Mus musculus: one gene and its partner. The protein of the gene in region 2 interacts with the protein of the main gene of each other region in a pairwise test. Links are inferred from orthologs where the notes say so. Each region holds a gene or a part of one and is shown on either strand. Other genes may lie near its edges.

Evidence for each region. The genes of interacting proteins can lie anywhere in the genome.
Region 1: the proteins of Tfip11 (region 2) and Zmat2 interact in binary tests that used the Homo sapiens proteins (3 or more experiments, as listed by UniProt). The two-hybrid records come from large-scale screens. The link is inferred for Mus musculus from reciprocal best matches to the Homo sapiens genes TFIP11 and ZMAT2.

The regions. Positions count from the first base shown.
Region 1 is NC_000084.6:36,792,203-36,796,882, forward strand, and holds the start of Zmat2 (zinc finger matrin-type protein 2), read left to right. Parts: upstream 1-1,720; 5' UTR 1,721-1,739; coding exon 1,740-1,757; intron 1,758-2,094; coding exon 2,095-2,188; intron 2,189-2,838; coding exon 2,839-2,962; intron 2,963-3,834; coding exon 3,835-3,908; intron 3,909-4,296; coding exon 4,297-4,442; intron 4,443-4,680. UniProt on the Homo sapiens protein: Involved in pre-mRNA splicing as a component of the spliceosome.
Region 2 is NC_000071.6:112,324,726-112,329,675, reverse strand, and holds the start of Tfip11 (tuftelin-interacting protein 11), read right to left. Parts: upstream 3,308-4,950; 5' UTR 3,203-3,307; intron 2,192-3,202; 5' UTR 2,006-2,191; intron 1,715-2,005; 5' UTR 1,706-1,714; coding exon 1,494-1,705; intron 311-1,493; coding exon 157-310; intron 1-156. UniProt on the Homo sapiens protein: Involved in pre-mRNA splicing, specifically in spliceosome disassembly during late-stage splicing events. Intron turnover seems to proceed through reactions in two lariat-intron associated complexes termed Intron Large (IL) and Intron Small (IS).

The DNA.
Region 1 (4,680 bases), on a different chromosome or scaffold from region 2:
CTCTACCCACTTACCATGACTTGTGAAGCACACATGTAGTCTTATATACAAAATAAATTGTAAAAAGAAAAACAACCCAGTAAAACACCAACATAAAGTGTGGCTAGGGAAGTGGCTCTCTTGATAGAATGTCTGCCTAGCACTTGGGAAGTGAAAGCAGGAAGATCGGAAGTTCAGAGTCAGCTTTGGTGCCAGGCAAGGTGGCACAGGACTTTAATCCTAGCACAAGGGAAGTAGAGACAGGCCAATTATCTGTGAGTTATGGGTTGGCCATAGCTGCATAGTGAAACCCTGTATAAAAATTTATTCAGCCTTGGATTCACATGAGATGCTCTCTCAATAAAACAAAACAAAACAAAACAAAAGACCCTTTGCCTGACGCTACATACATTTAATCTCAGCAGTGAAGTGGTAGGGCAGAGGCAGGGGAATCTCTTGAGTGTAGGGTCACTTGAATAAGAGTAAAGATTAAAACTAGCAGGACATAAGAGGGGTTTAATGTTTAGACAGCAGGTTGGATAGATGAAGAGGGTAAGATGCAGGGGGAATTTGGGGAACGCAGCCTCAAAGAGGGAGGTCTTTAGGGGAACACAGAAGGGCAGAGGTCCTGTGACTCTAGTAATATACCAAGGAATCTCTACAAAGAGATTTTCAGGCCAGCCAGGGCCAAATAGTGAGACCTTGTCTACAAACATACCACACCTATAATCCCTGTAATCCCTCTTAGAAAGTGGTGGCAATAAGTTCAGGCCAAAACTGAACTCTAATTTGCCTAGCAAACCGTATTTTAAAGACTAAAACACTTGTGACTGTAGATGCCCCATTCACCAGCATGTACTATGAATGTGGCTCTAAATTATGCACAGAAGACAAGTAGTTTTACATTGTCCCCTCCACCACTACTACCCCTGACCCCCACCACCACCCCTGCGCCGCCAAAAAAATTAGTGCTACTTTTTGGTTAAACTCATTTTGATGTCTGGAGAACATCTAAACTCATTTCATTTATACAGTACAATTTAATCTTGAAAACAGAATCAGCCAACACCCTAGAATGAAGCATTCGCCACTCTAACGAGTGCTTAAAATATGTTGTTTGTGGAAGAGGTTTGCTAGGCAGGAAATTGCCTAGCAGGGAACCTAGCTCAATTGGTAGAATTGAGCTTGATAGCATGAATGAAGCCTCTAGGACCACATGAACCGGTCGTGGTGGTACATGCCCCATAAATTCAGCACTTGGGAAGTAGAGGCAGGAGAGATCAGAAGTTCAAGATTAGAGACTATATAGCCAATTAGAGTTCAGTTTTGGCTACCTGAGAACCTGTCTTTAAAAAAAAAAAAAAAACCAAAACAACCAAAACTAGAAATCCGGTAAAAAACAAAACAAAACAAAGAAACCCCTAGAAATCAGGTAAAGTTGGTTAGATCATGGAGCACTATTTTCAAAACTCTGATTCTTTGCATAATAGAAGAGATGAGCTATTCTTCTGGGCTTGTTTTTAAAGCCAGAGAGAAAAACGTTGGCCCGTGCCCTTACTTCCGTGTAGCTTCACACTCCCTTTGCGCCTGCGCCATCTCCCTGGAGCAGAGGGCGGGGCCAACAGGACTGCCTTAGAATCGCTCCAGTCCTAACGCAGTCAGAATGAGAGGCTCGGATCTTATTGGAGCGTGATCTTGCCTTCTGGCTCCAGGGCGCGTTTTACTGCACTTTACGGCTTCCCATTCACTTCGCTGTGAAGATGGCGTCTGGCAGCGGGGTAGGTGTTGGTGTGACGAGGTTTGAGGGGTCTGGGGGATGGCTTTTCAGAGCTAAATAGAGACAGGCTGTGAGATTTGACTGACTTCCTGACACCTCTTCGCGATCTCAGGGTTCAGGTTCGAGAGCTCCCCCGTAAGGCCTTGGCGCAGGGACAGTGGAATCTCGGAAGTCTCTCGGGTTGGGGGTCCCGAGTCCACCAGACCCCTGGGCGTTCCAGAGAGACTTCTCTTCCGAAAGGTCCTGGGGCCGCCCCGGTGGCCGTTAGGCGGTTCCCTTAGTTTCTCCAGGGCAACAGGCACAGCTACGTATCTTGAGCACCTTTTCCCCCCCTACAGACAAAAAACTTGGACTTTCGCCGAAAGTGGGACAAAGATGAATATGAGAAGCTCGCGGAGAAGAGACTCACAGAGGAGAGAGAGAAGAAGGATGGTGGGTGCTCGCTCCACGAAGGGATAAGGGGACGGTAGAGATGATGCTGTGGCTAGAGAAGGAATGCCTCAGCAACAGGATAGATAAATCACTTGCAGTTAACGAGGCAAACAAAACAAAACAAAACAAAACAGAACAAAACAAAAGCCCTAAAGCTTTTTCCTCTCCTTTTTACGTGAGCTTCCCCTAGGCGTAGCCCATATTCCAAATCAAATCAAATCAAAACCTCCCAAACAAGCGTGTCCAGCTGCTTGGGTCTTAGTTGATTCCAGATGTAACTGCATGAAAACATTGAACATACGCTACTCGGTGTGAGTACCCCTCTTTTGAAAGGGTCACCTCCAGGAAAAATTCAGAACTCCTCAGTTCAACTAGACAACACATAGGAAACACTGTTTACATTTGCTGGCTTTAAAGGGAGAAAAGCTCTTGAGAGTTGGCAGTACCATTGCAAGTCTGAGGCCAGCTTGGTCCACATAGTGACCAGGCCTATGTCTATATAAGTCCAGGCCAATTAGAGTCTTTCCTAGCCTCTTTGAATTGCTACATAAAGTACCTGTTGTGTCCGTTCTTTGAGGAATTAAAAAGAAAAAAAAAAAAAGCATGAGTAGTCTTCTGAATTTTGGGGTTCATAATCTTTTTCCTTTCAGGGAAACCAGTGCAGCCTGTCAAGCGGGAGCTTCTGCGGCACAGGGATTACAAGGTGGACCTGGAGTCCAAGCTGGGGAAGACGATTGTTATCACCAAGACGACCCCACAGTCTGAAATGGGAGGGTGAGTTGCTTCCTGTCCGACTCTTAATACCACAGCTGGCCTAATAAACTGTATTGGTTTTTAGGAAGTGTTGAGGAGAATCCTGGGCCCAGGGATGGCCACCGTTCTGACCATAACCTGATTCTTTGTCTTTCTTTGTCCCCTGAAGTTTGTAGCCCACTCGGTCCTATTTCTAGGAGGGGTGGTTCTCTGGGCTTCTTCCTATTGGTACTGTAATACTTCCCTGATATCTTCAGGGGGGCTATATAGTCTGTTAGAAGACCTGAAGGCTCGGGGTGGGTTTTAGGTGGAGCTGTTAACTATAGTTTTTGTGCACCAAGATTGTGACCTATCGAAGAGTTTCACGGACCTTGTCACCCTTTGCCACCATTCCTTAAAGTCTGTCAAAGTTACAACTTACATCAGGAGACTCAGACAGATAGCAATCCACTGTTGTGATTCCTTTGCTGTGTACATTAAATAGTTAGCAGCATAACATAATAATAGCTCATAGTTTCTGTGGGCAAGGAATTGAGGGGTGGTCACCTTGGAGGTTCTGGACCTGGGTCTCTAATAAAGCCGCAGTTGTGGAATTGACTAGGTTTGCATTCGTTGGGGCTTAAATAAAGTTAGAAGGTCCTCTTCCAGGCCCTCCCGTGCCTGTGGTTCGGAGGCTCAAGTTTATTCTCTGGGCCTGCTTGTAAGGTCATTCACAATGAAGTGTAAAGAGGGACTTTCCCTAAAGCAAGTCATGTGAAGTTTGTCTGTTTTGTTAATTGAGACATTAATTAGACATCATCTAATTTTACCTAGAGATTTGAGTTTCTTTCCTGAAAACAGTAAGATCCTTAGAAACCAGATTGACCCATGTGCTGTTTCTTCCCATTTGTCAGCTACTACTGCAATGTCTGTGACTGTGTGGTGAAAGACTCCATTAACTTCCTGGACCACATTAATGGAAAGAAACGTAAGGCATGGAGGTAGTTGGTGGCTGGAGCTGGGTTGGGTTTTAAAGGTGTGCTGGAGGGCAGGTGTGGTAGAGTGGTTTTCTGGGGCCTTTCGTTTGTTCGTTTGTTTGCTTGCTTGCTTCTGAGTATCCCTGGCTGTGTGCTACCTGTGCATGACCACAGAGGCCAGAGGAGGACGTTGGCTGGCCTTGATGATAATCTGCCCAGTAAATAGGAGCAGGTGAGGCTGAGAGCTTCTTTTAGCCATAGTTATTTTTGTTGTGTACTTTATTATGAAAAGGTAAACAAGTAAACAAACCTAAAAAAGCCAGGGCGAGACTTTCCCGGGGGGGGGGGGGGTGGCTGAGGATGTTATAATGACTTGTCTCCGTTGTTAACCTCACCCAGATCAGCGAAACCTGGGTATGTCCATGCGCGTGGAACGCTCCACTCTGGATCAGGTAAAGAAGCGTTTTGAGGTGAACAAGAAGAAGATGGAAGAGAAGCAGAAAGATTATGATTTTGAGGAAAGGATGAAGGAGCTCAGAGAAGAGGTGAGGCTCTGCTAACCCTGCTCCCCAGCTTGGAGTGTTTTCCTTGTGGACCGAGGGTGGCCCTCTTCCTCCGCTCACTCTCCTAGCTCCAGTTTTGTTCCTGGGTTTCTTTGTACTAGGGCATCTTTGTTCGAGATCCATGAGAAACAGCTCAAAGCCTATCCAGTTTTCTTTGGCTTTTTAGATTAGATCTCTTGGGGTGGGGAGGGGGGGCAATTATTCATTCATTGATTTTTTT
Region 2 (4,950 bases):
TACACTGTATCATGAAAGGCAGCATCTGGACCACAGCCATCAGTGACTCGGAGGAGGGAAGGAACTGCAGATGCTCACCAGCTTCTCCCTGTGGAAGAAGCCACTGCACTGTGACCTCCATGGGGTGCCACCAGGAGACTGTCCTGTGAGGCCTACCGTCTTTAACTTCTTTGGTCCTAAATCCTTCGGGAAGTCCTCCTGCTTAACAGGCTTCTCTTCAGCATCAGAGTCCTCGGAGTCCGCTTCCTCAGCCGCCCCTTTCTTGAGCCCCGCACTGATGAAGTTGACAGGTGCAGAATAGTCTCGGGCCCTACAGACACACACAGAGCCTCCAAGTCCATAAAGAACGCTTCTGCAACACCCTGTCCTGGAAGCTGCTCGAAAGAGAATTCCTTAGAGAGAGAGGCCCTCAATAATCTTACATTTAACATTTAAAAAATATTATATGGGGGGGGGGCCTAACCACATGACACTGTGGGTGCCCGATGAGCCAAAGGCTCGATTCCCTGAAGATGGAATTAGAGGCACTTGTGAGCTGCCTGAGGTGGGCACTGGCTGGGAGCCACACTCAGGTCTGCAATAGCAATTGAGTTCAATCTCAATTGCTCCTGGGTCCTCTTCCAGCCCACATTTTACACTCGTGGGGTCTGTTCGATTCAAACTATAACTGAAGATTTGCCACTGTCAGTAGGGTTGAGTATAAATTCAGACTAGGATGTAATAATCTTACTTCCTTTGGACGCTTTCAAAAATGCCATTATTGCTCTGTGCAGACAATTTGTAGAGCATCTCGTCCCTTTCCCCTTCCCTGTAGGAATCTGGTGACTGAACCCAGCTAGCCAGGTGTGCATGGCAACAACCTCCGAGGCATCAAACTGGGCCCCCTTTTACAACTGAAAAGACTGTGTTAGCTTAGTGTCTGCTTTGCTTTAGAGTGGTACAGCACTTATCTAGCATGCCTGTAAACACACACACACACACACACACACACACACACACACACACAGTGTTTGTTTTAGATACTATTTCAAGGATAAAAGTCAGAACAACTCAAACAGATAAAAATCCTAAGTAAAATTAATCAAAACATTCTGAGTGTAGTTAGGTGGGGAGACTTGAGACAGCATCTTAATGTGGACCCCAGGCTGTACTACCACTCTCCCCTGTGGACCTACTCACTTTTCTACCTCCGTTTGGTCCAACAGCGTTTTCTCCAGAGCACCCTCTCTAAACTCCCTGTTCTCTAGTGCCCTGTGAGTGCTCCCTGACACAGCATGGCCCCACAGCTGCCATGCCTGTGGTGGGTCAGCACTTCCCTATCCATAAGTAGCCCTGATCCCATCACACAGTAACTGCTGAGGGGGAGCTCGCCACCCCAGCTCAACAACACATAGCAAGATGCTGTAGCACCCGGACTCTACAAGGGCAGAAAACTCTTCTGGGATGCCTTCCCGATCCTCCAGACCCAGGGCATGCAGCCCAGCACACAGTACCTTTTGCCTCCAAAGCTGGGCCTCTCCTCGTCCGAGTCTCGCTCCGCCCACACCCCGTAGGTGGCCTCCTCTTTGGTCTGCCAATGGCGCTGCCGGTTGGGGTTGAACTCATTCTGGAGATCCCAGTCGGTGATCTCAAAGTTCTCCCTCTCATCGTCATCGTCATCATCAAGGTGGCCTTCGCCATCCCGGTACAAGTGGGACAGAGACATGGCCAGTCACTAGAGGACGGTGACAAGAACAGCACTGTGAGAACCTGGGGCTAGCAGAAGATCCGCCAGTGTCAAAAAGCTATTAATGAGCCTCATGATCCAACTCAGTAAAGCAGCCATTAAACAAAGGGCAAAATGACCAGCTCCGTGACAAGTGAGACAAGTCAGACCCAGCCATCCGAAGGGGGCCTAACGCACAATGCCTTGTCAGAGTCAATCACCATGCACGCGTGGGGCGGGGCCACAGAATGACAGGCACATATGCCACAGAAAGGAAGCAACAGCTCTAAATGTTATTACCTCAGAAACCAGGTTGGTCTTTTTACTTCTCCAGGAAAAGTTGTATCTAGCCAATTTGCAGTTCCAGGGAAACTTCAGAGCATTTTCTGAAATACTATTTCCACGGGACTGAAGGTTTCCTTCCCTGAACGGCTTCTACGGTACTGGAAGGTTGCAGTCTTTCTGAATGCCACTTTGCAGTCACTCCTAGAGGGTAGGGAAAAAACAGTGTTCTACCCAGGTAGCTATTCATCTCTCTCTCTCATAACTGCATTCATTCAGTTCCAGGAGAAGCTTGTAAGGACTGATTAAGATGATACTTTCGAAAAACAAAAGCTCCAACACTTTGGAGGCAGAGAGGCAGATCCATCTCTCTAAGTTCAAAGCCAGCCTGGTCTCAAAACCGACAAAACAACAACGAAAGCTCCGCTCCCAGTAGGTGCTCAAGAAACAGCACCCTTACATCTTTGACTCTAGCAGTAGGGAGGCAGAGACCAGGGGGGTCTGAGTTCAAAGCCAGCCTGGTCTACAAAGCAAATTCCAGGGCAGCCAGGGCTGGCTGCTAAAGAGAAATTCTGTCTTGAAAACAAAAACAAAAAACAAAACAAACAAACAAACAAAAAACAGAAACGGGGGGAAAGGGAGGAAAAAGGAAAAAAAAAAAAAAGCATCTTCTTCCACTCCATGATCGGGTTTCAGGTTCACACTCATTACAAGTCAGGACTGCGAAGTGAATCCTTCAAAATGATTGTGAAAATCATTAACACTTAACACCCCAGCCTGAGTCTAAATCGCGCCTCTATGAACACCTGTGAGTGTGGTTATCACATTCAAAGGTCCCGACCCGACACTGTGTGCATTGCACAGTAACATCCTCACTATGTGACACCAGTGACTGACAGCGTGAAAACGGCTCCGCGGTGACTAACAGCTCCCCCCCCCCCCCGCTGCTCCTCCTCCTCCTCCTCCTCACTATGCACCGGCGAAACTCAACAGGTTCCGACCCCAGCAACCAGCACATGTTGAGTTTCCTCAAAGGAGCAGGAAGCCCTAGGCCCACTCAATTACAGCACCGCCACCTCCCCAGCACAGGGGACAGGAGACGCTCAGCTCAATGTCAGCAGCGGGCCCGGAGCGCAGGGAAACCGTAAAGCCGTCGTCACGGAGCCTCGGAGCCTCAGCCCGCGCTCCCGGGACGCCACCCCGCCGCCTGCTCACCTCGCTCAGCATCCGCGAGAGCCACACAGCCTTCGCCCAGCGTCCCCGAATCTGCGAGGGTCCCGCCAGCCCAAACCCGGATGTGGCCTTTACCGGCGCATCGGAAATACGTCATCGCTCAGAGGCGGAAGTGGCGCGCTGTTGCCCCGGCAGCGACTTCACGCCGGAGGGGGCGTGTCTGCAACCCGGAAGGGCCGGTGATCCCGCCTCGCGCTGCTTCTGGTTCCCATCGGAACTGAGGCTGAGTGGCCGTCTCGTTCCAGGGCGAGCCGTCGCCAGGCACTGGAGTCTTACTTGGCGTTACCAGCGTCACGAGGACACTGAGAGATTAAAATGTCCTCGCGACCCCATGTCGAGTTCTCTCCAGGAAGCAGTTTTATTGTTCTCCTCTTTGCTCTAGTTATTTCTCTGTCGCTGGGAAAGAACGGAGTTGGGGTTTCTTGTTGGTTTGATTTGGTTTTGGTTTTGTGAATTTTCAAGACAGGGTTTCTCATCCTGCCGTGGTGGCGCACGCCTTTAATCCCAGCACTTAGGAGGCAGAGACAGGTGGATTTCTGAGTTCGAGGCCAGCCTGGTCTACATACAAAGTGAGTTCCAGGACAACCAGGGCTACACAGAGAAACCCTGTCTCGAAACCCCCCACCCCCAAAAAAAAGAAAGAAAGAAAGACAGGGTTTCTCTGTGTAGCCCTGACTGTCCTGGAACTCATTGTGTAGACCAGGTTAGCCTCGAACTCGGGAGATCTGCCTGCCTCTGCCTCCTGAGTGCTGGCCTTAAAGGCGTGTGCCAACGCGACCCACAAAGAGCATATGTCATCTTTTTACACATCTTACAAATCTATACATAGTCTGGTGCCATCTCTGGTTCTGAAACTAATTTGTTTTCTCTAATACCCTAAAAGGCTGGGTCCTGGTGGGTTTTGTTGTTGGCTGGACTTATTTTTGTTTTCCCCTGTCAGCTTGATACACACTAGAGATATCTAGGAAAAGGACTCGGTGCTTCCATCGGATGGCCTGTAGGCAAGACTGGTGTCGTTTGCTTGATTCATGATTGATGTGGGACGGCCCAGCCCATTGTGGGTGGGGCCTCCCCCTGTGGTCCTGGGTGCTGTAAGCACAGGGAGCAAGCCAATAAGCAGCGTTCCCTCCGTGGCTTCTACTTCAGTTCTTTTTAAAAATGTCTTTGGACTGTAATCTGTAAAGCAAATAAATCAGTTTCCTTCCCAAATTGCTCTTGGGTATGGTCTTTACAATACAGCAATAAAACCTAACCAAAAAACATGCAGGAGGATTTGTTAGTGAGGCTCTTGGGGAGTCCGTCAGAGCCAATGTGATACTGTGGGATCAGGGTCCCTTCTTGGGGTTTTATGGTCACGTGAATGAAAGCATCTAAGAACTGATACAGAGAGCTGAGGGCGGGCAGTGGGGCCAGGGTTGGGGGTGGGGGCGGGAACGGCAGGCAAGTTGTAACTCATAGCTGCCGGGAGGAGAACGAAGAAGGGAAGAGGCATGGTGGTGTGGGAGAGCCAGTGTGGAGGTCGGCCACGAGCAGGCAGGGGGCCTTCAGCGCATGAGCAAGGGATCCCAGTACAGGAAAGTTGAAAGCATACTTGTGTTGGGAAAGAATATCCCTGCGTGTGAACCAAGTGAAAGTAAACCAGGAAGGCAGTGACCCCAAGTTGGCAGACAAGCACACGCAAGCTGCAAGGGTACTTCCGTTCCGTTCCATTCCATTCTGACACACGTGCT